Linked DNA regions of Struthio camelus. The protein of the gene in region 4 interacts with the protein of the main gene of each other region in a pairwise test. Links are inferred from orthologs where the notes say so. Each region holds a gene or a part of one and is shown on either strand. Other genes may lie near its edges.

Region 1 (7,045 bases), on a different chromosome or scaffold from region 4:
CACGCCAGGGCTCTGCACGATGGGCCCCAGAGCCGGAAGGCGGCTGCTGCTGGGGCGCCGCGGGCCCCGGGGAGCAGCACGGCGGGTTTCCTGTTGAGCTCAGCCTCTGCATCGCGGTTGTGGTGACAACAAGAGATTAAAAAACAGCCCTGTCTCAAACTCACGGCAAAACGAAGGATGTAAACGTTCCTGCTGTGCCCGGCTCTGGGATCTCCTGCTGAAAAAAGAGGGGAGGGGACAAACCCCAACCAACCTCATGCAGAAACACCCCAGGGAACGGTCCTTCCTGCCACCCATTTGCACCCTGGAAAGGGACCGTTCCCGATTGCCCTGTGCCCGAGGAGCTGCTTGACCCCGGGAAAGCGGTGGCTCTTTCGGTGCCAGCGAACAGGACTAAGGCAGCCGCCGGCTGCATCCCAAGGCCACGGGGGTCCCCAGCGTCCCCATCGTGTGCCCTCTCCCTCCCAGCAAAGGGAGCCACTAAAAACCCAAGGCAATTTGGAGGCTTTCCAGCTTATCACAGCGCGTGCTGGATGCTGTTCGATGACCGTCACTTATAAGGCTATAAGGTGGCACTGACCACGGCTGCAGGGGAGAAAAAAGGAAGCATTTAGGGTGCCATTTCCAAAACAAAGTCCTGCAGGCATTTTCTGAAGCTCTTTCCCAGGAGAACGGGCTTGATCCGTGGCCGGACTGCCGGGAAGCCTGCGCCGAGCTGCGATGCCGGCGGCACCGGGCCGCTCGCCCTTCGCTCCCCGTCGCCTACCTTGAAGACCTTGCCGAAGGCGCCGTCGCCCAACTCGCCCAGCACCAGCCACGCGTCCTCAGGGTTGACGTCCCGCCTGACATGCTGGTAGCGCCTTGGCTTCTTCTTCTCCGTGCCCAAGCGGAAAAGTCGCCGGAAGAAAGCCATGGGGCAAGGTGTTTTTAGGGGGAAAGAGATGAGCTGGGGCAGGCTGCCACCTCCATCCAGGGAGGACGGGGACCTCCTGGGGCGGCCGGGAACCTCTCGCTCTTCCTGCCTCGCTCGCGCAGGAAGCGGGCTCGGCGGCGGTGGCCACGGGGGCCGGCTCGAACAGGGCTGCGCAGGATGTGCCGGGGAGGAGAGGCGTGTCAGAGGTGCCGCTGCGAGCCCGGGTGCCGCAGAGGTGCCCGTGCAGATGGTCTGGCCTTGCTCAGCATGAGCAGGAGGCTTCTGGCTCGGTGCATGCTCCAGGGAGCAGCCCAAAAGCCCTAAAAGGGATTTATTCCCGCAAACACCCACTAAGTTGTCCCCTCGCCAAGCCGATGCGCTGGGCGAGTGCAGCATGCATGCACACGTGTGCACATGCATGCACGCCGGGGTCCCCAGCAGGGCTGGCTCGGCAGCGGACACAGCCAGGCATGGCTGCAGCCAGGCAGGAGACCAGCACCCTCCAGCACAGCTAAATAGAGGCTAAAAGCCTCCAGCTGAGCTTAAATAGAGCCCCTGCACCCATGGGTGCAGGTGAAGCTTTAGGTGAGGCTGCTCAGGGCTGTTAAAGCTTATTTGTGCCCCCAGGACCTAAGTACAGGGATATAGTTTATGGTTTTCTTTTCATAATACATAGTTAGACATGCAGTTTAAAATAAAGCATTGTATTTATACCTAAACCCAGATGCATCGGGCAGCATTTACCCATGTAGGGAGGTGTCTGCGTACGGCTTTGCTCTTGTCATCACCTCGCGAGAGACCCGGTTGCTTCCCCCTCCGTCAGCCCGGCCAGCCGAGGCATCGCTGGGGCGAGGAGCCGTCGGCTTGACTGCGCCTTGCGGCCTTCTCTCTCTGCCCAGTAGCGGGGGGGGGAAAAATCACTGCAGGGGGAAATTCAGCCGGATCGACCGGGACCGGACCTGCACCCACCAGGGAGGTTACGTCCTGGCGCTGCGGCTCGGGCGAGCGGACCCATCGGGGAGCCGGGTTGCACCTCTCCGTCGGCTCATCAGCCACTGTTATAGCAGTGCGGCCTCGAATCTTCACGAGCCGGCCTGGCTCGCTGCCACGTGCGCTCAGGCACATCCCGGGGCTTTCCGACCACCCGCCTTTCTTTTTTCTTTTTTTTCCTTTCTCTCCTCCTCGGTAGGTCCTGGCTGCAGGCTTGCCCTGGAGCTGCCTCTCACACCCTCAGCACCAAAAATAAGGTGCTGCTGGCCGCAAGCCCGCGTGCCAGGATGGAGCAGCCGGAGACCCTGCAGCATCACAGGATAATCGAGGCTGCAGAGGCTTTAGGACGTCGCTAGTCTGAGCTCAAAGCAGCCTTGGATGCGATGTGAGACCAGACTGATCCTGCACCACCGAGTGCCTCTGGCAGATTCAGGGTTTGGGGGAATTTAGGCCAGCCCTGTTCTTTCCTTGCCTGCTGAGGTGGCTCTTTCCTCCATGAAAAACAGCCCATTTCTCTGGCCAGCTTTCAGAGGAGTGGGATGAAACCACCGTGCGGCCCGGAGCCTGCCGCAAAGCAGCGGGTCTCTGCCTGTTTTACACATTGGCTGAGCACTGCCCCCTTTCAGCACACCAATGACAGAGCCAGACTTAGCCTGACTGCTGCCTAACCAAAGTATATTGAGCTCAGTAACTCACATTCCCTAAAGCAGGTCTTCCAGAAAGAGGCCATGCAAAGACACGGAGAAAACACATTTTTGGGAGGGACCTTCCTATCCCTCATGGTCCAAAGCAAGGACGCGTCTTCCCAAAGGGGTTGGCGCCCACCCTGCGGGTGCTTGACTCCCCACAGGCCTCAAATGCAATTTATTTCCAGCCTGACACTGTCCTCTAGTGGCATGCGGGCAACAAAAGGGAATTTATTATAGTGTCCGGCCGGGTGGGAAGAAAAACTATAAAACCCTCCTGCCCAGCTGGATGCGGCTCCTTGTGCCCTGCCGGGAGGAGCAGGAGGGAGGAAAGCGGCAGGGAGCCGGTCGGTGCGCTTTGTGCTAGGGGAAACCGAGGCTGAGCTTTTGTACAAATCGATATTGCCCGATCTCACCGTCCCTTGAAGAATTTCCCAGCCCGGGAGGACCCGGAGGCTGTTTACTGGCGGGATTTCTCTTTCTCGCTCTGACTGGCAGCTCTGAGTCAGGCCTCGCGGGCGCGCTTTCCGGTAACGAAAGGGTTAACGCCGCCGTCGGAAACACCTCGCCACTCATCTCTGCCCTGCGCGGCGCCCGGTTTCAGCATCGGGGCCCGTCGGGGCCCGTCGGGGCACCCCTCAACCCCGCCGGCTCCCGCTGCCCCCCCCCCCCCCGCCCGCCGCCGGCGGCTCGAGGTTTTCCCACGGCGCCCCGCCGCGCACCCGCGGAGCCGGCGAGCGCAGCCGCCGCGTCCCCCCCGCCCCGTCCCCGCGTCCCTCTGTCCCGCCGCTTCTGCTTCCTCCGCGCCCCCGGCTGCCGGGTCCGGGATGACTCACGGGGGATTTTTTTTGGGGCTCTTTCGCAGCTCCGGCGCAAGGCGGAGGGGGATTCTGCGAGCCCGGCCGGGAGCTCGGACCTGGCCACGTCCCCTGCCCCCCCCCCCCCGACACTGGGGACACTGGGGACACTGGGCGCCGCGGCCAGCCCCGGGCACGGATGCTCTGGCCGCGGATAAGTCCATCTCCGCTCCGAATGGCCGGTTTGAGATGATTTTCTTGCCAGCGCCCGGCGGCGCTGCCTCGGGATAATCCAGCCGTCCAAAGCGAAACAAAAAGGGATTGATTAAAAAAAAAGAAAAAGGAAAAGCAATGTGCAAGCGAGAGGTGCTGAAGGGTCAGGATGACCCCGCTGCCCGCCGCAGCCGCGCTCCCGGCCCGGCCCCGGCGGCAGCCCCGCTCCGGCAGCGCGTCCCCGCGGGGCACCGGGACCGGAGCGGCCGCGGCCACGGACCCGGCCGGGGCACCGGGCCGGGAGCAGCCGGGCCGGGGTGGGGGGGAACCGCGCTGGAAATCCCTGCACACTCATTCAGCGAGGCAGCGGGCTCCCCGCCGGCGAGAGCCCCAAAAAGTCCGGGCGTTCCGGTAACGAAAGAGTCAATCGCGCACATGTACACACACACGCACACACACACACACACACACACGCGCGCACACACACACACACACACGCCACTTCCCTGAGTGGGGGATGACTCATCCCCCAGCCCTTCATCCCCGATAGAAGTAACACAAGCAAACCACAGCGCTCTTCCTCCGGCCTCGCCGATGCACCGCCCGCCGCTCGCCCGCTGAAGCCGGTGAGTTCGGGCGACCCGGGGCCGGGCAGAGGGGGGAGGAATTTCGCGATGGCGACCGGACCGGGAAAGCTTCGGGATGCTACCGGGAAGGATTTCGGGATACGACTTGACGGCAGGCTTCAGCCCCGCTAGAGCGCTTCCCCCCCCCCCCGCCCCCAACACCCCGCGCAGCTGAGGCCCGACACACTCAGCGCACGCACGGAGCGGCAGTGCTGCCTGAGTGCGGGGACGGGACGAGGACGGCACGAACCTTTCCGGGGGTGGCGGAAACGGGTCTTTTTACTCTATAAGGGTGGGGGGGTCCCGAACAGCACCCCCCCCCCGGGGCTCCAGCACCCGGGTCCGGACAAAGCCGTCTCCGGGGCGGGCTGGAGCCGCCGGGGCCGGGGCCGGGGCCGGAGCTGGGACCGGGGCCGGGACCGGGGCCGGAGCCGGGGCCGGGACCGGGGCAGCGGCGGCGCCCGCCGCCCGGGCCGCGCTGGCTGATGTAAGGCGGTATTTTAATTCTCTTACAAGGAGCGGGCTTTAGAGGAATGACTTAAGTGGATTACTCATCCGCTGTAATGACTTGGCAGCGCTCCCGTGCTATTCCTAGACATGACGCTCAAAGCTTTGATTCTTCCTCTTCTGCTGCTTTTTTTTTTTTACTTTATTTTTTGTTCCCCTACTTTTCTTTCTTTTTTTTTTCTTTTTTTTTTTTTTTGCTCTCTTTCTAACGAGAAATTACCCCGCTGCGTTTTTTCGCAAAAGCCGCGCGGCGCCCTGGGAAACGTAGTGCGCTGCCGGGAAGCGCCGAGCCCAGCGGGTCCAAGGCCTGGACGAGGAGGGGAGAATAGCAGAATCTGCCTGAAAAAAATGCTGCAAAAAAGCCAGTTTGGGTCCGGGTCCCCCCCGGGACCCTCCTGGCCCCTTTCCCAGGAGGCGAGGTCCCGCCGCCCAGTTCAGGCCCGGCGGGCTCGGGTGAGCCGCTGGGCGCTTGGGCAAGGCGGCGCTGCAAAGCCTCGGTTTTTTCCCACCGCTTTGAGCGGTTTACCCAAAATTGCCGCTTTTCCCCTAGCATGCGGCGCCCTGGCCCTCCCCCGACCCCCCCTCAAAGGGTGCGTTGGGGCCACTGCTCCCGTTTCCTGCTCTTTCGCAGCAATAACCAGAAAGAGAGGAAATAACGTCAGCCGTTCTTTTAATTCTTCGCACTGACAGTAAGCCGGCACTGCACCAAATCCGAGCCGGCGAAATCACAGCGCAGCAAACTGCCTCACCCCGGCACCCACCCCCTTTAAAACCCCCTTTTTTTTGGAGGAGGGGGTTTAAAACTCAGTTTTGGGGGCCGAAAGCAGTGGCCGGTTAGAGGTGGCTGAGCACAAAACGATGCCCGGCGCACACCCCGACCTGCGGGCGCTCGTGTATGCGCAGCCCCCCCACGCCGCCCCGTGCACGCGCGGCCGCAGGTGCACGCACATGCGCCCGCACGCACACCCATAGTAGGCACACATGCACCTTGTCCGCACCCGTGTGCACGCATGCACGCCCACCGAGGGGGGGGGGCCCCCACGCACATGCTTGCACATGCATGCACCTGCTTGCACACACATGCACCTGCTTGCACACGTGTGTACCCGCTTGCACATGCATGCACCTGCTTGCACACACGTGTACCTGCTTGCACACGCGTGCACCCACTTGCACATGCATGTACCCACTTGCACACGCACGCCCCCCCCCCCCGGCCATGCACACCCCTGAATGCGCGCGCCCACATTTGCACGCCCCTGCGTCCTCCCCTCCCCACCCCACCGGGAGGAGGATTTTGGGGGGGGGGGTGCAGCCAGCAGGACTACAACTCCCAGCATGCCCTTCGCCAGGGAGGGAGAGGCGTGCCCCGGCGGGGGGGGACGGGCGGCGGCGCGCTCCAATAGGAGAGGGGGGGCGTGGCGGCGCCGCCCAATGGGAGGCCGGGGCGGTGGGCGCGGCGCGCCGGGGGTGTCACATGGCGCGGGCGCGGCGGCGGGTGAGCGGCGCCGGTACCGGATCGCACCGGAGGGGAAGGGGGGGGTCCGGCTACCCCCTTCCTCCCTCCACACAGCCCCCAGGGGTCGACCCTACCGGAGCAGGCGCTGCCTCAGTTTCCCTAGGGTGAAAAACCAAATTTCCCAATTTGCCCAAATTTCTTTGGAAAAAAAAAAAAAGTGATTTTTTTTTTTTGGTAAAACTGGAAAATTTGCAGCAGGGGAGCCCCGCCGGGGAAAAGGGGGGGGGGGTCAGGCTGACTCTTTTCCCACGCCGCGGGATCACCCGCCAGGCACCGAAATCGGCCGTCCGGCCGATTTCGGTGCCTGGCGGGTGATCCCGCGGCCCGAATAATCCCCGTTAATTCATTTTTTTTTTTCCCCACCGCATTTTGGTTCGTTGTCTCATTTCACCCACTTTTCCCACCCGCCCCCCCACCCCGCCACCGCAGCCCCCCCGCCCCGGCCCGAACGGCGAGCGGACGGAGGGCAGCCGGCCCGCATGGAGGAGGCCAGCCAAACCCAGCCGGCCTCGCCGGAGGAGGACAAACCCAAAACCGAGAGAAACGAAGCCATCGTGGAGCCACCGGTGAGTCCCCCCAGGAGGGGAAAAAAATATATATATATAGATCAAAAAATATATATATAAAAACAAAAAAATCCGCAAAAAAACGGAGGTTTCACCGGCGGCGTCGACGCTGCCGGCCCGCCCTGCCGCCTGCTGAAAAAAAAAAAAAAACCCGGGTGTTTTTTTTGGGGAGGGGGGGTTGGCGCGGGCCCGGCCGTTCAAAACGCCGCGAGCGGTTAAAAAGACTAG
Region 2 (6,867 bases), on a different chromosome or scaffold from region 4:
GGCTCTGCCCTCGGGCTCTGCCCCGCCGGCTGCCCTCGCCAAGGGCCGCGGGGGCGCCCGGCCCGGCACCGCCGAGCCGAGCCCCGTCCCCCCGGCCTCCAGGCCCCCGCCGCGGGCTGCGGCCAACGGCCCGGCGCTGACCAAACGCAGCTCCCTCTTGGTGACCCTCCGCCGCAGCGCCTGGGCGACCCCCCGGGACCGGCAGCGCCTCGCGGCCGGCCGGGAAGTGCCGATCCCTGGCGAGATGGCGGCAGCGGGGCCGCGGCCCCAGCCCTTCCCCGCCTTGGCCCCCTCGCCCCGCCGGCCGCCCCTGGGTGGTGGAGAAAGGCCGGCCGGGGCCGAGGGGCCGAGCGGTGCCCCGCCGCCCCGGGGGGAGACGCCCGTGGCAGTGCTTCGCCCGCACCCCGACACCCAGAGGGGCTCGGCCCCCGTCACCCCCATCCTCCCTCGGCCGCGGCGCGACCACCCCGGCGGTGCAGAGACGGCGGCGGCGAAGACGCCAGGCACCGGGCTGCAAGCGAGCGCCGGCGGAGGGAGCGCGGGGAGCACCGGTGGGTCCCCTCGGCCCGGCCGGCGCGTGAGTCCGAGGCGGGGGCGCGAGGGCGCGGGGGTGTTCCCCCCGCGAGAGCGTGCGAGGGGACGGGGTGGGGGTGAAGGCGATTCCTCTGCCTCGGAAATGTCTCCCCTCGGCATCTGGGTCACGCTGGACAACCACCGGCGCCTGTGGATAAACAGCAGGTGAAAGGTGAGCCAAATACTCCGTGATGCCGACGTTTTGAGGAGAAACACCTGGTGGTTGTGACGGGTCAGAAGCTGCTGTGAGGGCGGCGGGTGCCTCTATCCACCCGTTTGCTAAAGGCAGCTGGCTTTTCAGACTGTCCCGAGCAGCTTCTCAGTACGGAGGGTGATTTCTGAATGCCCCCGTAACCCACAGTAGATACAGCTTTCTTTTTCCCTGTTGGAAAAGGAGGTGTTCAAAACTCTCCATGAGAAATAAGCCTACTGGGCGCCCCGCAGCCGGGCCCCCGCCGATGGGACGGCCGCACCGCAGAGGGACACGTGGGGACGTCCCTGAAAGGCCTGGGCAGGCCAGTCTGGGTGCATGGACGAGTCCTAAAAAGAAAACGCCGCTGACCCGCTGAGGTGGCGATGTGCCGGACGCTGCCTTTGCGCCACCGAGCCGTAGGTCGGATCTGGCCCAGATAGACGCGCTGGGGATGCAGGTGGCTGTCGCTGTGGGGCTGCTGGTCCTGGGGGAGCCGAGCCGCACACGGGATAATCCTGGGACCTGCGGATAATCCCCTGAGAGGAAGCAGCGCGGAGGGAGGGCAGCGGAGGGGCGAGCTCGGAGCCTGCCTCGCGTCCCCCCACGTCCCTGTCACCAGGAGAGCCAGCGGCCGTTCCCCACGGCACCCGCTTTGGGCCCGTCCCCGTCACCGGAGCGGAGCGGAGCGCTCCGCGAAAAGAAGGAAACGAGCCAGCAGACTGTAGGAGAAGGAAACACGGAGGGAGGAAGGGGCATCCCCCTCCAGGCACGCCAGCCCCTGGCAGAAATGCAGCCGGGCACATCCGCACAGCTCTGCAGACACAGCAGGCACGTCCACCCTGACACATGCACACGGGCACCGGCAGGCGCAGGTGCCTCCGGGGGCACGCGGAGATGTGATCTGCGCACCCTGACACAACGGCACGCGCCGCCTTGCCCGTGCCGATGCTGCTGACGCGGCCTGCAGACGGCGCCGCTCCCCGCTCCCTACAACGCACACGCGTGCACACACGCGCACACACACAGAGGGGACGGCTGGCACTCTGCCTCTGCACCAGGGGCTGACGGCCAGGAATCATGGTGCCAAAGGAGAAAAGGTTTCTCACGCCTCCACAAGCTGAGCTGAAGGGCAAACTGATTTTGACGAGCTGTCCCCGATTCCCTCTCTTTGGGAAAGCAGAACGAGGCCTCGCAATCCCCTAAACCCAAGAGGTAGATATCTACAGAGAGAGGGAGCAGGATCCCTGGCATTTCTCAGCTCTGCCGGAGCAAAACCGCAAAGGGTTAAATATCCCCCTCCATAAACAAGTGGCTGCATCCAGAGATGCTCTGTGGACAGCAGCATGCCAAACCCCTGGGGAATAGGGAGGGAAAGAGCAAGGAAACATGTGTGCGGTGCGAGACGGCGGGGGGGGAGGGCATGCGTGTGCGTGGGGGGCCCCCCCGGATGCGTGGAGCCCGTCCCTCGTGGCCCCCACAGCCCCGCTGCCCTGCCCACCCAGGCGGGGAGGCTCTCGCAGGCTCTGGGATGGAGCCGGGGCGGGGGGTGGGGGGGAGGGCGCGCGGGGGGGAGATTTTGCAGCGATGTTTAATATTCAGGTCACATGACGATGGCAGCAGGAGCAGCACCAGCATCCCCGCTCAGCTGAAATAGCCACTGGAGAAGGAGGGGAAGGAGAGGGGGGAGAAGAGGACAGGAAAGAAAGAGAGAGGTAAAAGCAGAGCTTCATAGCCCACCGCGCTGCACCAGCGTCAGGCTAGAAAACTGAGGGGGAAACCCACCCCCTTGGGAGAGTAATCGGAGACAAAGGAAGCTTCATGTTCAAAGGTAGGATGCTCTGGGCTTGGCAGGGCTGGGCGATGCTGGAGGGACGCTTGGGCTTTTTGTGCATGCACTCTCCGTGGTACCCCCACGCTGCCAAGCTCGGGTCTTTGGGGGTGAATATCTCCTCCAAAGGGCAGTGGAAGAAATTGGTCCTGGTGTGTGAGGTTTTATTTTTTTTTTCTTCCTATGGTAGCAGTCTGGCATCAAGGAGAAAGAGCAGGGGCGGCTGTGGTGCTGATGCCGGGTAGCTGTCGCCAGGGGCTGCTCTGAAAGAAAGATATAACCCCAGCCGGCCCAGGGCTGGGAAAAGCCCCCAAGCTGCTTTGCAACTGGCTTGTCCCTTACATTGACAAGCTGTCTCCGTCAGGGCAGTGGGAACGTCCTGTGCGACTCCCTGGGCATCTGCTCCAGAGCCAGTGGCAGGCAGGGACCCCCCGGCACCGGCAGGCTGGAGGGCAGAGGGACAGGCAGCTGCAGGGGGACGGGGTGCCCGCGTCCTGGCACCCTCTCGCCTCATGGGACAGCCCTGCTGCCCAGGCTGCGACCCCGGGCTGCGGGGCACGCGGGCAAGGACTGCACGGCGCAGCCCGGTGCGGGCACCAAGGGGGACAGCTTCCTCCTGAGGGGTGCCGAGGCATGGGTGTGGGGAGAGGCATTTGGGGAGGTGGGACACGGGGACATGCTGGGGTGGCCAGCTAGGGAGATGCGGTGATCCCCACTCGGGCAGCAGGCAGCGACTGACCCTGTGGCAGCTGGGCTGAAGACATGCCCAGTCCCCTTCACCTCCAGCTTCTGCATTTCCAGCGAGGCTTCTGCCCTAGATTTCGCTGCAGCCCTGGCAGAGCCGGGCTCCTGCCCAAGCCCTCTGCAGAGTGGTGAGGGCACCCAGTGGAAGGCGGCCTCCAGGAAGGCTGCAGCAGCCCAAAGGGCTGGGATAAGTTTCATGGCCTCACTCAAAACGCCCAGTGGTCCCTAGGCCAGGCAAAAAAGACCTGGTAAAGAAAATACCTGTGTTCTGCATCCTGAGGTGTGGTGGTGTGTCCAGCGCGGTTTGGTCTTTGCAGCATATGGCTGGGAGAAATGCCCTGGGGATCATCATGAGAACGGAGGGGAAGGGAGTTTTCCAGTGGAGAAATGCTTAATCCAGCACCTTTGCAGATGCGAAGCAAGGAGCAGATAGTACTGCCTGCAGGCCACAGGGAGAGCCGTGCTACAGCAGCAGCTGCTTGCTTTCCTAGGGACTTGATGTAACCCGCGTAGGGCCCGCTCCTGCAACTGCGCTCACGCACCCAAGCCTTCCCTCCTTCACGCGTGGCATCGGCAGGGAGCAGGAACACGAGCCCGGGGCCACATGGGTGAAGGGGCTGGAGCGAAACGTGCTTTTGGATCGCTGCCTCCAGCTGGAGCAGGACGGTCTTTTGCCAAACGGGAGGAGACCTCCAGTGAGTCTATTGACATATTACATGGGGGTTAAATAGCCTTTCCTTACTGGAAGCCGGATTCGTTGTGAGCAGACGGTTTCCACCCCTCCCTTCGTGTTGCCACTCAGACAAAGAACGGGAAGGCAGGGGGAGGGGATAAGACTGTATCTAGGTTATCAGGTCCAGTCTGCCCCCAGGATAGGAGTAAACGAAAGTCCCCACCGCCTGAGCCCCGTAATGCAGCTGCAGGGCTACCTCTGTCTCCAGCCAGCTGTTGCGAATGTCAGAGGTGGCGGGGCGGTGTTAACGGTGCGGTGCAGCAGCGGTGTTTGCTGCTGGCCAGGTACGCTGGCCTTCCAGGGAGAGGTTTTGGGGTGGACTGGTGAGTGCCAGAGGTGCTGGCTGGTCCCACTGGTACCTCTCTGAGCACCCATTGCCCCCTCTGGCCCTGCCTGCCCCTGGCCCAGACGCTGCAGCTCTCCCCGCTGCGGGCTAGGATCCGAGCGTAGCGTCTTCTCTGAGCCGGAGGTTATCAGCCAGCAGCCCAGCCTGGGCCTCCTCCTGCTGCGAGCTGGGGAGCAGAGGTGTCACCAACAACCACCCTCTTAAATCAGCCTTTGCTTCGCAGACAGAACAAAGCAGCAGAGAAAAGGGTGGTAATGCAAGCAGCGGACGCTTGTTGTTAACCTTGGCTAACCCCCTATTCATTATAAGCTACATTTACCACAGTGCCCTATCATGTATTTATTACAGGGACAGGGAGCAGTTGGAGGGTCTACAGGACGCGCCTAGGATGCCTGATGCTACTCCTTGACCATTCACTAAGAGCTTTAACGAGGTTTCATGGCAGTGTTAACGTTACTTCATATAAAAGAGGCATTCCCAGCAGACCAGGTAGACACGTTTCCTGCCTCAAGGTGTTTCTCATGCCTCTGGTTCTGCACGCCTTGACCTTGCCTGCATGCCGTTTCCTCAGTTGTCTTCTTGGGTTCCTCCGTGGAAGTCAAGAGGTGGAAAATTACGTGCACAAAGCTGAGCCCCTGGATACCTCTTTGTAAAATGGGGGCTTCCCTTTCGGATGTGGCATGGGGAGAGAGGAAGGCTGGTGAAAGAGGGTACTGTCTGCCCTGAGATTCTGAATATACAAAATCAAACCCCCCTCCCCCCCGAGCCACATCACTGATAGAAAATCCAGGAAATATTTAAGGAGATTTTAGGACTGCTTTTCTCCTGATGTGAGGGCTTTTTGTAGGTGCTTACTTCAGGCCTTTGAGACCTGACACTGAAAAGCCTGCTCTCGCCACTGCAGGCTCCCAGCTCCAGCAGCAAAGCCTGTGAACAAATGGCCAAGTATTGCAAAGTGCACAGCGCAGTTAGCAACATCTGGCATCTCTGGGCAAATTGTCCCTCAGTGCAGTGGGAGTGAGGGACAACTCACAGACCTTCCTGCGAGCCTTGAGGCTGGTTGGTAGCTCCTTTTCTCCTTCCTTCTCCCCATGTAAGAAAAAGGAGTTAAAGGAATAAAGGAGAGGGTAACAGACTCCCCAGGGAGAAGCTACCACCCAGGTAGCAAAGGGATCGCAGCCTGCATGGCCCGGGTCCTGGGCCCATCCCGCTCAGCCCATGCTGTTATCCCCGCAGGGAAGCTGCTCTCTGGGCTTTCTTTTCGCCTTGACCTGTTCCCCTTTTACCTCCAGAGCTTTATTCATCCCCTGTTATCGTAATAGCCAAGTGCTTCACTTCCTTTAATGTACTGATCCTTGTGACTGTCAGAAGGGCTCTTTGGCTGGTGGGAGACGGGAAGGAGGTGGCAAAGACGGCTCAGCAGGGCAGGGATGGGGACCCAAGCCCCTCCTGTGTGGCTTGCTCCTGCAGGACTGGACTGCCTTTCTGTTCCGGCTGCACAGCGAGATAGTCCTCCCTGCAGTGCCGCCAGGCTGCAACCCCCCTGTCCCACATCCTGCCGTTGTTCCCCTGCTCCCTGTCTCAATCTCTACCCTGCTCTGGGGTATGGGGGCCCCAACGCAGGCTGCTCTGGGAAACCCTCCCTCCTCTTACCCCTGCAGCGGAGGGCTGGCACCTTGTGACCAGGAACAGCAAGCAATAGCTGTGCTTGCCCTCAGCCTTTGGTCTCCTCCATAGTCATCCTCACACACTCAGGCCCAGACACCGAAGAGATGCTCAGCACTGGAGGATGCTGTAGCAGGATGAGGGGCCATGGCACAGCCAACGGTACATGTGGTGTAGGGCAGACTGAGAGAAGAGGAGCAAAGGAAAGGATGCAGGAGAGCTGGCTAGGTTGGCCTTCCATGCTCTGCCAGATAGATGGGCTTTCCTGGCTGGCAACAGCTTTGAGAAAGCTGGAAAAAGACAACAGGAGCCTCAGGGGATGCTTTGTCAGCAGGAAAGGCACAGACTAGTTGTGACGTGTGTATGAGCGGATTGCAGCTGAGAAACACTCGGCTCGGCAGGCTGCCTCAACCTGCAGCTCCCCGTTAGCATAAGGAGCTCAGATTTGCCAGCTTGGCTCAGGCCAGCGGTCCATCTTGTACCATGGCCCCTCCAGGCTAATGCTCACTGCTTCAGAAGAAGGTGATGATAGCTCACAGTGCACCTGCTTAGTGGCAAAGAGCAGGTGGGGGACATCCTCTGGGCAGGTCTGTCCCCTGCAGGCAAGGTGAAACAGAGGTGGTATGAAGCCGAGACCCATAGGAAACTACCAGCCGTGCTATGCACAGATGGCTGTGCTGCTATGCTCTTACAGGTGTAAGAGCACTTACTTTCCAAGTGGTGTAAAACAAGCTGCTCTACAGGCACCCTGCTCCTTGCTGAAGGTGGCCCTTCTGCAAGTTCTA
Region 3 (6,317 bases), on a different chromosome or scaffold from region 4:
CTGTGTAAGTAGGATGGGGGACGTGACTTAGGTCTCAATTAATATTTGATTGTGTAGTGAAATAGCTTCACCTGGAGAAACTGAAAAGTCTAAAGCTGTGGACAAAGCGCTCAGCTGGGAAGTTGGTTCAAACCCTTCTCCTGGAGCAGGGGTTATTTGTATCTTGGCAGGGAGGTGAAAATACTCAGCATTATTTCTGCCTTTGTAGTTTTGTGAATGACATCTAAGTTCTTTCGGGAGTCCAGCTCAGAAATCTGCGTAGCCGGTATAAAAAATTCTGCAGTGAACTGTTGCAGCATTTCCAATTTGAATGCATGTCTTCACATACATGAACATGTGTCTGATGCAGGTCACTAAATCTGGCCCAAATACATTAGTATTTGAAGTCACAGTTTTTAGCAAATGAATGATTTGCCTAAAGAACTTTATCCAGCTTTACGGAAAATACTGCGTAGAAAAATTAAGAAAAGGCAACGGTACACTGCTAACTGAGTTCTTGGTAGTTCTGGATTACACGGGCTTTGTCTTCTGATTAGTACTTCACGGTGCTTGTCTCCACTAACTCACTATCCAGTCAGCTCTTAGACCTTAAAACATTCATCTAAGGTCTGTTTTAGTGGCCCACAGTCTCAGTCCTTCAAAAATACAGATGACCCATTTCAAATTGCCATCTTTCCTAAAAACTGCTGCGTCTAGGTAGCACCCTTGAGCTCCCATCTGATGGCAGACTAGGCGCAAACATCCTATGATAAAATATTTTCCTTTGTCCTTTAAGGATACTTTTCTGCTTTCCGTTGCAGGATACCTGAACTTGAAAAGAAGAGAGTGTTCCCTGGGGAGTTACCATAGTAACCTGTGATGTTCCTGTGTTGTCTGAGATTAAAAAAAAGCAAGGGAGAAATTACAGAGAAGAATTTTATACCTGAGTTTATCATCTTTGCATAACACCAAAGCTGAACTGCGTCTGCAACTTCCTAGAACAATAACACTCACCTTGGGGCTGATATCAGGTGGGTAATGTTCATTGGAAAAGAAATTAAGAGCGCTATTTATTATTCAAGAATCTTGATTAGAAAAAAAATTTATTCTACATCTTAAAGATGTAGTGAATAACAAAGAAAATGAGATCATTAGAAACGCAAAGATGTAGAAGTGAGAATAGCTGCTACAAATAACGTCTAAACTTACAATGCATGGATGCCCTGCATATTCTGTTTTCTTCTTAATAGGGTTCAGTGATACTCTCCTTTTAAACATATAGTCAAAGAAAAACTCCAGACTCAAATTCTCTTTGCAAAGTGACTTCAGGTCTCACAGTGCACGCATGGAGGTTATTTTTGAGCATCAGTACCAATTCAGCAGCAAACATAATTTGAATATTCTGAATAAAAACAAAAAATGTTTTAAAAGAATGTGATAGAAGAACAATCTATTTAAACTGCTCTCAGTTATGAGCATCAAAGATAGAGGGAAGTCTGGGTTCAGGAAAGGGCTTGAGAGCTGAGATACAGAAAGGTCATTTCCGTGAAAGATAACCCAACTGTGCATTGCTGGGGAAAATCAAGGACAAAAGAGCAAAAAGTGAGTTGTGGGAAGGCGGTATCTGCGTGCATCCGACTCTCCGTCAGGGGATGCTTGCCGCCCTTACCCCCACCCCGGTGCGTGGTGACTGCTGGTCGTGTCACAGTCCGGCGCCTTTGTTCCTTGTTACATACCATGCATGTGAGCTGGCACTGGCGGGACCAGGCAGGGAACCAGCTAGGAGGAGGAGAAGCTGGGGCAATCTTGAGCCTCTTGCCTCAAATCAAAAAAGCAGCTAGAAACAGGGCTGTTTGGCAAGAGCGCAGGGAAAGGGAACACGACCGACTTTTGTAAGCAGGTGAGTATGTGTCAATGCTTCATTTACTACGGCTGAATTACCTAGCTCAGCCTGATTTTGTGCAGCTTCCCTCAAAAAAATTGTCCTTCCTGCCCATCTCAGTTCCCCAGCCTTTTTACGGGATTATTTAGTTCAGAAATACTTGAAAATGATAACAGAGCCTGAGAGAACTTGAAATGCCTCTGTGAAGCGTGGGTCAATATCTTTACTGCAGTGCAAAAGAGCTGACAGAGATGCTGTCAAGTTTAATTGTCCCCAAGATAATGTCCTTCAATACCGAATATATTAAATGTTTCTGTTTGTCCTGAAAACATGCCATATAAACACTTTAAATATAAGTGATTTTAACAGCTCTAGCCACCTACCCAAGCCACTCACTGGCAGGTGTGTCTTGGCTCACAATACCTATATTTTCTGTTTCTTATTTGGATATTTAGGGGCGTCTGGGGTCATTCTCTCCTTGGCTGACTTTCCTTTCAGCCCTGGGGTTGATGGTGCAAACATCTGATGAAAACCTAGGCCTGCAAAATCGCAGGAGCCATGTCAGGGAGTGTTTTGGGAGACATGTTCGCCACCCTTCTTCCCGCAGAGGGGTGCAGAGCTCCCAGAGCATGAAAGCGGACATCGGGCAAGTTGGAATGGCTGTGGAGGAGTGTAAGAGGGAAAAATACACAGTTGAAAGCACAACACAAGTGGAAAAAATGAACTTTGAAATTGCAAGGTTGTTGCATACTGTGGGAAATCCTTTTTAGCAGAGCAATATAATGAAAACGCTAGTTTGATGTGAGATAAAACATACAGTGATGCAGAAGACAACCTTGAGAGCTAGACTGAGACCCTACCACAACAAACTCTACCACATATTATTGCAACAAACCTATATTGCAACTCCCTCCAAAACTCACTCTCGCTTTAAGGGTTTGGGGATTTAAAGTACCACCAACAATTTTCTGAATTTTTGGATAAACTTGGGAAGGAGGAGGAGAAGGAAGTAGTTATGTGATGCTGGCTTTCAGGAGCCAAATGGAGCTAGGAGAAACAATACAACAGGAAGCAGCATGGTAGACAGTGCAGAGGGGTGGGAAAGAGCAGTGGAGAAGACTTTGTGGACAGGAAAGACCATGGCAGGACAGAGGTGCTGGGAGACAATGTCATGAAAGAGCTGGAAGAGATGAGGAGTTGGTGAGTTACATTTCCCAGTGTCAACAGCACGCCTAACACTTTATGGAAAGGTATGGAGATGAAGTTTGTGAAGGTAAAATTCTCCTCACCAGCTGAACAGGTAGAATTGGATTTCATAAGGGACAGTAAGGCAGCTGGAGGAATTCAAGGAGGAAGAGGGTAGATCTAGGTGAAATTTGACAGCCAACCTCTTTTTTCTAATTAGAAGAAGGCACATTGCAGAGATTTAGCTTTAAAAAAAAATACATACACACAAGACATTCAAACAAGTTTATTATAAAAAACAGTTTAACCTCATCTCATCTTGAAAATTTCATGTATTTTATTTTTACGGGAACACATTTTATTTTGATGAGAACTGCAGAAAATAAGACTTTCTTTGGCATAAAACTTATCTGGCATTTTGTGTTCATGAAAACACACTGAATTCCTTCATTTCTCCAAGTTTAGTTATGACTAGAAGGTGATTTGGCCAGGAGCATTTTGGGCAGAACAAACAGAGAAAGGATATTGAACAGATGAGTCTGAGTTTTCTGCAATTGAAATGAGAAGAATTGGAGGTACAACTTAGCAGGATGGATTTTGAAGTGATAAGTTTTCTGGTGATGTGAGAAAGAGGCAGAACAACTGTAAAAAAAGCGATGACACATTGCTATTGCAAACCTAGAATGTGAGAGACGTAATGGAGCTATCAAAGAATACAAAGATAAGAGAAACTGTGGAGAAATGAGAAGGAAAGATGGAGAATTATGTATGGAGTGCGACAGTGTTTGGAACGTGCTGATAGGAACTTGTCAGAAGAATACGTGAAGAGCAATAGAGCTCTTCCAGTCCCGATGGCGCAGTGCTGTGGTTTAGATTTTTAATTATCTGTGCACACTATATCATTCTGTGTTCTTCCTATTGATGGTGCTGTCAATTTTAAGATTAAAAAACACGGCTGCCATCATATTTTTGTGGCCTCTTGTTAGCAAAGGTTACTGAGCATCCACTGGAAAAAGCTGCTCTTAGGGCCAGTTTCAAAAGTAATGACATTTTTTCATCCTTTAAAAATGTCTTACTAGGCATCTTTGAAAACTTGTCTCCAGCCCCATAATTTATTTTAATTAATTAATTTATTCTCTATCCTCGGAGATATTCAAAAGCTGTCTGGACACAGTCCTGGGCAGCTTGCTCTGGGTGACCCTGCTTGAGCAGGGGGGTTAGACTGGATGATATCCAGAGGTCCCTTCCACCCTCAGCCATCCTGTGATTCTGGTATTCGTTTACCTGTTGGTCAGCAAGGAAAGGACAATTCTGAGGTGTTCTTACATCTTAACTCTTTACATGTCTGTAAAAATGAGGTAGAGGGATAAAAGGAGAGTCAAGGTTTTTGCATAAAAGCTCGTGGTGTTGCCATAGCACTGGTAAATCTACTAGTGCCAGTATTCTCAGATTTTATGAACTATGTTTCTGGTGTATTCCCTACCTTCCAGTGTCAAGGAGGCAACACAGTTGATTGTGGGAACTTACTTCTTTGCTAGTTTCTGTTATCTAATGTAATTTAATTTGGACCTTGAATTTTGGTAATAATTCCGTGCATTTATGTTCCCTTTTCTATCAGTCCTGATAAAGCTTCTCCAAAACCCCTGTGTCATTTACCAACGGAGAGTGGCCTCTCGTGGAAGTCCTGGAGAAAGTGTTTTCACACAGACTTACTCAGTTTACTAAAGAAAACCCATGTCTGCTTGTGATCTGATGAACCACAACATGCAATGCACAAGGACTGACATAGATTGTACCACCCCACGAGTGAAACTGAGTGATGAGACATTTATCTTTATTGATGGCAAATGGGTGAACGAAATTTACCATCAGCCACCCTTTGCTTCCCACGAGAAGCACTTCAGCAAGAAGACACAGAGTGAATGGAGCATCTGGGAGGAGAATAGAGCACTCCTGGAGGAAAACAAAGTTCTCCGTATTGAAAACAGCATGCTGCAGGAAGAAAACAAGGCTCTTCGGTGCCTCCAGGCGCAGAATAAGACTGTCAAGGTCATTTATGATGACACTATTCATCAGGGCCTCCAGAAGGAAAAGAGGTCATTCCCAATCTTCCCAGACAGCAACATAGGCTTTCAGATCAGCCAAGATAACAAAGCTCTTCAGATTGTCCGGGGAAAGAACAGAGCTTTAGAGATCTTCCGGCAGCAGAATAAAGCTTTCCCCATCATTTGGAAAAACAAAAAAGCCATTGCAGTCCATGAAGAGAGCAAAGACACAAGCTCAGTTCTTCAGAAAGACACTCAAACTATCACAGATCCAGAAGAAGGTAACCCTGATCTAGCCCCCCAGCAGGAACACGAAGTGGGGAGCTCCAATCCAACCCAGAATGAGAAGAGTGCCCCAGCCATGCAGGGTGAGTATCCAATTGGCCAGGCCATCCAGAACTTATACCAAGCCCTCCAGGTCTTCCTGAAAGAGGACTATATTCCCTCTGGAGAGAAAAACTCCCTGAAAGAGGACTATGCTCCCTCTGGAGAGAAAAAGGACATTCAGATTCTCCAGGAGGAGAACAAAGTCTTCCAAGAAGAGAACAATAAATTGAGACTGCAGTTGAATGCCGTGAAAAACACTGTGTCAGATATTACAGCTCAAATGGAAATGCTGCAAAAAGAGCTCAGTGCCATCACTTCCCCAGTGTTCGAAGAAGCAGGACAAATACTGGCAAGTGAATATCAGCTTGGAGACATGTGAAACTTGCAGCTAAACCTGCTGGTTCAATTTCCTGTAAAGCACCTCTCCTTGTTTCAAGGAACTCAATAAAATCCCAGTGGAATCTGAAGAAAAAAACCAGCTGGTGAACATTGTGTTATTCTGAAACTTTCTTGTATCACTTGGATGCGTTTCCCCTTCTGATAACATGGGAGTGGGCAACTGTCATGAATTTGCCTAGTCCCAGAAAAACATGCTTTTCGGCATATTTTAAAAGTTTCTAATAATAAGGCTACATTTTCAACAGATAGCTCATGCTTTTCTCACTTAATCTGAGGTACCTTGGAACGGCCATATTTACCAGAGGGATAGGCACTTTCTGAAAACCAGGATTCCAACTGGGAGCTGAGTTTGGAGCCCTGTTGGTCCCTTTCTTTTGATGCCAAGCTCAGTGGCTGAACTATGTCTTCTGCGATGCACCAGCCTTACCTTTCTCACGTAGGCTAAGCAATGAATCATGGGAAATGTGGCCTCACGGAGGAGACAGGCCCATCGAAGAGAA
Region 4 (6,183 bases):
GGAGGACTCCGCCCTCTCGCTCTCGGTTGGTCGGGAGGGATGCCCGTCACGGCGCGACGAGAGCGCCGGTTGGCCAGGAAGCAGGTGGCCGCGCAGACTGAACCATTGCGGCCGAAGGGGGGGACTGCGCCCCCCTCCGTGGCCGTGGGCTCGCCCGGCCGGCAGGGGGCGGTGGCACGGGCGAAGGGCCCCGGTAACACCGGGAGCCCTGGGGCAAACGGGGACCCCGGGAGCGCCCCGGAGCCCCCCGCGGGGCCAACCAGGACCCCGGGAGCCCTCCCAGGACCTCCCCCAGCCTACCTGGAAACCCCGGGCACCACCAGGACCCACCGTGGGGCTGCCCTGGGACACGGGGAGCCCCCAGACCCACCCCCCGGGACGCCGGGAGCCCCCAAGACCCACGCTGGGACACCGGGAGCCCCCCAGACCCACCCCCCAAGACACCAGGAGCCCCCCAGACTCCTGCCAGCACCCCCGAGGAGCAAAGGCAGACAGAGAACTCCGAAACGTCCTTTTTATTGAAGCTCAGGTGTCGCAGCAGGGACTCAGGTGTCGCAGCAGAGAAACGCCTGCAGGAGCGGCGCCGGCCCGGGGACAAGCGGCTGCCGTTACGTGCCCAGGCGGCGCTGCCGGTGCCCATCTGAGTAACTGCCAGCTCGGGCCCTTCCAGCCGGCCTCGGGCATCCTGCAGAAACAGCCGCCTGCTCCTGCGCAGCGGGGCGCTCACACGGGGATGGGGCACGCAGCAGAGTCTTTGCCACCAGCCACGCCCGCGGATATCTCCGAGCACGGTCGTGTGTGGATACGCTTCTCAGAGTTGTAGGAGCCACAGGAAAGAAGGAAAAGGTGCTTTTTTAGAGAGAGACTCAGACAGGTAGGGGAGGGAGGTCTATGTACAGCCCCAGTCCACAGACGCTCACTTTTCCGGCTTCTTTGGCAGTGGCCTTCGGAACAGCAGGATGTGAGGCTCTGCGGGAAGGATGAATAGAGCACGTTACGGACAACGTCAGCCTCCCCTCACACCCCTGCCGGGGGTCGGCTGTGCCCACGGCCAGAGCACGGCTCACCTGGCTCGTGGATCATGTAGTGGACCCATCCCTGGCTCTGCTGCACGCCCAGGTTCCTCCACTCCGACTCCGACATCAGGTGCGTCTTGGGCACCAGCTTGGCGATGTCCTTGGGCAGCATGACATGCCTGGCGTGCCAGAGATGCTCAGCCAGGCGATGCCTCCACCGGGGACCCGATACCGGGACCCCTTGCCCTAGCGTCCCTCACGGGACCCCGCACCAGGACACCCCCTGATTCTCTGCCAGGCACCCGGTGCCAGGGCCCCCCCCCGCCCTGCCGTGACCCGGTGCTTTCCTTCAGCCTTTCTCCCAGCGACCCGGTAACGCGACCGCCCCCCACCTCCTCGGGCCTTCCTTCCCGGGGAGCCGGTACCGGGCACCCCCTCAGGCCTCTCCCTCATGATGACCTGCTACTGGGACAACCCCTTCCCCAGTTGGGGCCTTCCCTCACAGCCACACGGTACCAGGACACTCCCCCCCCACCTGGGCCTTCCCTCACAGCGACCCGGTACCGGGACAACCCCCCCCCCAGCCTGGGCCTTCCCTCACAGCGACCCGGTACCGGGACACCCCCCCCCCCAGCCTGGGCCTTCCCTCACAGCGACCCGGTACCGGGACAACCCCCCCCCGGCCTGGGCCTTCCCTCACAGCGACCCGGGCCCGGCCCCCCCGCCTCACCGGTACTCGAACTCCTCGTCGTCGTACTTATCGGAGTAGTAGATCTGTTTGTGCGCCATGACGCCCGCGTTGCGGCCCGGTGCGGTCCGCCCCCTTCCCGGCAGCCCCCGCCCGCCCCACTCCTCTCCTCACCGCACCGCCCGGGCCGTTGGAGCTCCCTTCCCCCCCCCCCCCCCGCAATGGCGCTTTCAAACGCCGCCGCCCCGCGCGCCTATTGGCCCCGGCCGCGGGGCGGGCCGCGCGTCACGCGGCGGCGCGCGAGCGGGTTGGCTGGAGCCCGCGCGGCCAGGCGGGGCCGCCGCGCTCTCATTGGCTCGGCGGGCGCCTCGGCCTCGCGGGCCGGGTGGCCGCGGTCGCGGCGGTAGCAGCGGCGTCACGTGACGGGGGCGCGGTGAGGCCGCGCTGGAGGGCGCGGGGCCGGAAGCGAGTGGCGGCGGCGGCGGCGGACGGAGGCAGGAGGAGGAGGAGGGGGGCGCGAGGCGGTGGCGGAGCCGCGGCCGCCGGCAGCGGAGGAGCCCGGCGCGAGACCCATGGTGCCCCGGTGAGCGCGGGGCCCGGCCCGCGGAGGACGCCGGGGCGCTCGGTGCAGGGCAGCGGCCTGGAGGCCCCGGAGGCGCGGGGATGGCGGGGGGGGGGGGGGAACCGGGACCGGACCCGTTAGAGGCGGCGGCGCCGGGGCCGTGCGAGCAGGAGGCTCCCGGCGTCTCTCAGGCGGCTTCGGCGCCCCGTTTTGTCGCTCGAGGGCCGCTCCCGCTGGGGCCTGCCGTGCGCCGGTCCCTCCGGCGGCCGGGCCGCCAGGGGCTGCCGCCAGCACCGGGCCCGAAGACCGGCCGGAACGACGCTGCGCCAAAACCCCGTCCGCCCCCCGAGCCCGAGGCGCTGTCACGGGGGGGGGTCTTCGGCCCCCCGAGCGCCTGGGGCGCAGCCCTCCCGCCGCGCCTGGCAGGTGGCCGGAGCGGACCCAGCTCTTCCGCGCTGGGGTTGACATCCCTCCTTGCAGGGCCTTTGCCTCGGCCCCCCGCGGCGGTGCCCGGCGGCGTTGTTCTGCCTTGCGTCTGTCCCCGCGGTCGAGCGCCTGTAGTTAGGTCGCGGGGGTGCCCCGGTGCCCAGCGCCGGGCCGGCTCGGGTGAACCGCCGTGCGCGCCGCGCTGCGTTGGCGGACTCGAGCTCTGAGGAGAGGCGACCCTGGTCCTGCGCCATGGGTTAATAGGGTTGTGCGAAGGACGGCTCTGGTCTGGAGCGCTCCGCAGAGATGTCCCAGGCTTGACCCGTTTCCAAGGCGCACGTGGTTTGTAGGAGATGCTGTCTGTTCCCAACTTAGCAGGAACCGTCCTAGGAACCTGCAGCTCTACTTGGCCATGCCTAGGGTCTGCTGCTCCCCTGGCAGCCTTTTCGGAGGAGCTCTGTGGGCTGGCCAGCCTGCTCCTGGCCTGCGCACTGGACACCCTGTGCCGCAAGAGAGCCTGCGCTCCTGGGAGCTGCGCGGGGCAATGTTTCATCCTCAGTTGACGGACTTGGGTGCCCGTGTGTCACCTCAGGTGTGCAACTAGGCATCCAAGAGTCTTGGCAGGCCTGCTTCTGTGAGGCTGGAGGCAGGATGGACTCCGGCTGGGAGCCGGGTGACGTGGTGTCTTGTCCTGATCTTGCCGCGGCCTTCCTGGGAGACTTTGGGCCTCCCCGCGCGTTGCTCAACCAGCATGGTGGGGCGATGCCCTCCCTTAGCGGCTCTTTCCCTGCGCCTGGGAGCTCTTCCTCGTTCATGCTGTGGTGTGGTGGCTGCTGTTTGGGAGCCCTCATGGGGGCTCTTGGCTCGGCTAGGCTGAAGTAGGCTCCTGCGGCTGGGCAGGCACGGTGGTCTTTGCCAGCCGGGCGCTGTGCTGCCCTGTGTCTGAGGGCTACTGTGTCCCCCTGGGCCTGCTGTTTGGGTCAAGCTCCCTCCCTTCCTCTTAGCCTTGCGTTGCCCCCCAGTTGCGGTGAGGCCGCCTTCCTCCTCGCCTTCCCGCACCCCCCCCCCCCTCCGCCAGACCCCGCCGCTAATCTTGGCTCCTGGAATACAAAGGCCTTGTTATTGCATTTCCTTCGCGGTGAGTGACCTGGCCGGGTGCTTGCAGCCAGGCCCTGCCCAGGGCAGGTCTGCGACGCTGCGCTTGCCAAAGGGGCCTTCCTTATCTCGCTGCCTCCTGGTCTAATCACGTTAGCTCCCGCCTGGGCTCCAGCGCTGGCTTTGCAGGCCCCAGATAAGGGCACAATTGCTACAAGGAAGTAAATCATGTTTGCTTCCCTGCTCTGCTTGGCTGGCACGTTCTCGAGCCAACCACGTCTGCTGTGCCGTGGGGGTGGGAGCAGAGCGGGGAAGGGCAGGGGCTCCCAGCGAGCTGCTCCTGCTCCTCTTGCCTGGCTTTACCTTAGCTGCTGCCCCCCCTCTCCCTGAGCTTCCTGCCCCTCCTTGCTCTGCACACGTCTCCCCTTTTGTAGCTGCTTTCCAGTGCTCCTTCCTAGCACCAGGCTCTGTTTTGTGGTCTCCTGCGGAGCCTGGGGCAACGGCTGTGTCCCTGCTCCTTTTGTACCGCTTCCTGAGGAGGAGGTGGCTGCACCGTGAGGGCTTGAGGCATCCTTTCAAAGTGGGGATGCCAGCAAAGGGGGTGACTCAGTGCTTGGCCCATGGGAAGGAGTGGGGAGCTCCACCGTTCCGGACCGCCTCCGCTCTCTGCCTTTGCTCCTGGGGCGTGTTGGCCTCCAGGCGCTGTTTACTGGGGCCTGGCGGCTGCCTGGGGCAGGGATCGGCTCCAGTGCTTGCCTCGGTCTGAAGGCGAGGTGTTCTCTGCCTCTGTTGCTTGTGTTGCTGCCCCGCTCGGCGGGCAGACAGCCCCTGACACCGTTTGCCCGGTTCTGAGCAGTACTCGGTCTGTCCCCGACCCGCTCTGGGTCGGCCTCGTGCTCTTGCCCTAGGCAAGAGGGGCCCCAGAGCATCCCCGCTCTTGCGCTCCTCAGGACGGTGTCGCACGTCCTCCCACCCGGTGCTGGGGCACAGGCCGTCGGGAAGGAGGAGGCTCTCCCCGGGTGTCCCGCTCCCGCGGGCTGGCAGCGCTGCAGGGCTGTCTCCTCTGTCTGTCGGCTGTCACAGCCCCTTTCTGCATGCTGTCAGCCAGAAGCTGCAGGGTCTGCCTCTTGGTGTGAGGGCCGCTTCCCCGGCAGTCTGGGGGCAGGGCCGCCTAACTCCCTGTTTGTCCCTGAACCGCAGGTTGGTCTGCCAGACGAGAGGGGCTGTGTGTTTCTGTTCCCTGCCTGGGGCCTGCCCTGCCCTCCCGCGGCGATGGAGTACGTGGTAAGGCCGGCCAGCTCTCGGGACTTCGGTGGAGGGCTAGGTGGCTTTGGTGACGGATCGTGCCTCCTCTCTCCCTTTGCTGGCAGGGCCCCAGCCTCCTCTCCTGGTCTCCGCTGGCTTCTCCCTGCCTCTCTTCCGAGGAGTCTGCGGTGCCTCCTCTCCGGAGTGCTGTTGCTGACTGCCGAGCCGCGGCTTTGCAGGCTTGCAGCCCTTCCTGCCCCTCTGGGAGCGACGTTCAGGGCTGCGGAGGAGGAAGAGGAGGTTGCACGCAGCAATGTGTAGATGCCAAGTGATGTTGTAGCGATGACTACTCTTCCTGCACTGTTTGGGGAAAAACCCAGCTGCTGGGTGACCGCCAGCGTATCTCTTTGCTTTGCTCCCCGTGCCTTGGGACGGGAAGGGATGTCTGCCTCCACCGCGTGTGCTGCCCAAGGCGCTGCGTGTCCTGGGGGCGTGCGGGGCAGCTCCGGAGGAAGAGCTGCTGGCACAGAGCTGGATCTTGCGTTCTCTGCTCGTTGCTGGCCCCGAAGCACCGGCTGGCCGGCTGCGGCAGGCCCTGCGTGGGGGAACAGGCAGGCAGCGCAGACCGAGTGGGAGCTCCCTCAGCCTCCCACCGGCCTGTGCGCGCCCTCGCTGCGCGAGCGCCGCGTACGCCCGGCGAGGTGCGGACATGCAGCGGTTGCCTGCCTGCGCGTGTTTCTCTGTGCACGCAGCTGCCTGCGCCTTTCTGCTCTGCGCGATTTCTTGCCAAACCACTCGCGTGTTCCAAATCTGACTCAGCTCCTGAGTTTGTGTTTCCTGGGAGGATGTCAGGCGCTGGCCCGGCAGCAGGGGCCCGGAGCGGAGCCGCTCTGCTCGGCGCCTGCGGAAAGAACAGCCTCTGCTGTGCCATCCTGGGCTAGACGGGAGACGTGCTCCCTCCTGCAGGCCCCCGGATCACCCCGCGCTTCCCGGGAGCTGTCTGAGCCTCCGGCTGTGGCAGGGCAGGAGGGAGGTTTGTTTCTCACCGACGTGCTGGGGATGTGGTCTGCGCTCCGTAGCGAGGTCGGCTGAGCTGCGAGCTTTGCGCAGGCCAGCAGGGCCGTGGTCCTGGGCCGGCTGCGCCGGAAAGA

What was found.
Region 1: the proteins of CKS1B (region 4) and ARID5A interact in binary tests that used the Homo sapiens proteins (3 or more experiments, as listed by UniProt). The two-hybrid records come from large-scale screens. The link is inferred for Struthio camelus from reciprocal best matches to the Homo sapiens genes CKS1B and ARID5A.
Region 2: the proteins of CKS1B (region 4) and SEPTIN3 interact in binary tests that used the Homo sapiens proteins (3 or more experiments, as listed by UniProt). The two-hybrid records come from large-scale screens. The link is inferred for Struthio camelus from reciprocal best matches to the Homo sapiens genes CKS1B and SEPTIN3.
Region 3: the proteins of CKS1B (region 4) and CBY2 interact in binary tests that used the Homo sapiens proteins (3 or more experiments, as listed by UniProt). The two-hybrid records come from large-scale screens. The link is inferred for Struthio camelus from reciprocal best matches to the Homo sapiens genes CKS1B and CBY2.

What each region holds. Positions count from the first base shown.
Region 1 is NC_090968.1:1,207,643-1,214,687, forward strand, and holds the start of ARID5A (AT-rich interactive domain-containing protein 5A), read left to right. Parts: upstream 1-4,017; 5' UTR 4,018-4,225; intron 4,226-6,680; 5' UTR 6,681-6,730; coding exon 6,731-6,817; intron 6,818-7,045. Other genes in the region: STE20-like serine/threonine-protein kinase, read right to left, coding at 767-1,333. UniProt on the Homo sapiens protein: DNA-binding protein that may regulate transcription and act as a repressor by binding to AT-rich stretches in the promoter region of target genes.
Region 2 is NC_090942.1:56,466,582-56,473,448, reverse strand, and holds the start of SEPTIN3 (neuronal-specific septin-3), read left to right. Parts: upstream 1-3,843; 5' UTR 3,844-3,942; coding exon 3,943-4,033; intron 4,034-4,765; coding exon 4,766-4,906; intron 4,907-6,867. UniProt on the Homo sapiens protein: Filament-forming cytoskeletal GTPase. May play a role in cytokinesis.
Region 3 is NC_090942.1:191,153,380-191,159,696, forward strand, and holds CBY2 (protein chibby homolog 2), read left to right. Parts: upstream 1-4,529; 5' UTR 4,530-4,780; coding exon 4,781-5,797; downstream 5,798-6,317.
Region 4 is NC_090971.1:4,300,436-4,306,618, forward strand, and holds CKS1B (cyclin-dependent kinases regulatory subunit 1), read right to left. Parts: upstream 1,923-6,183; 5' UTR 1,806-1,922; coding exon 1,747-1,805; intron 1,196-1,746; coding exon 1,068-1,195; intron 970-1,067; coding exon 917-969; 3' UTR 501-916; downstream 1-500. Other genes in the region: uncharacterized protein, read right to left, coding at 5,379-5,933, 6,079-6,183.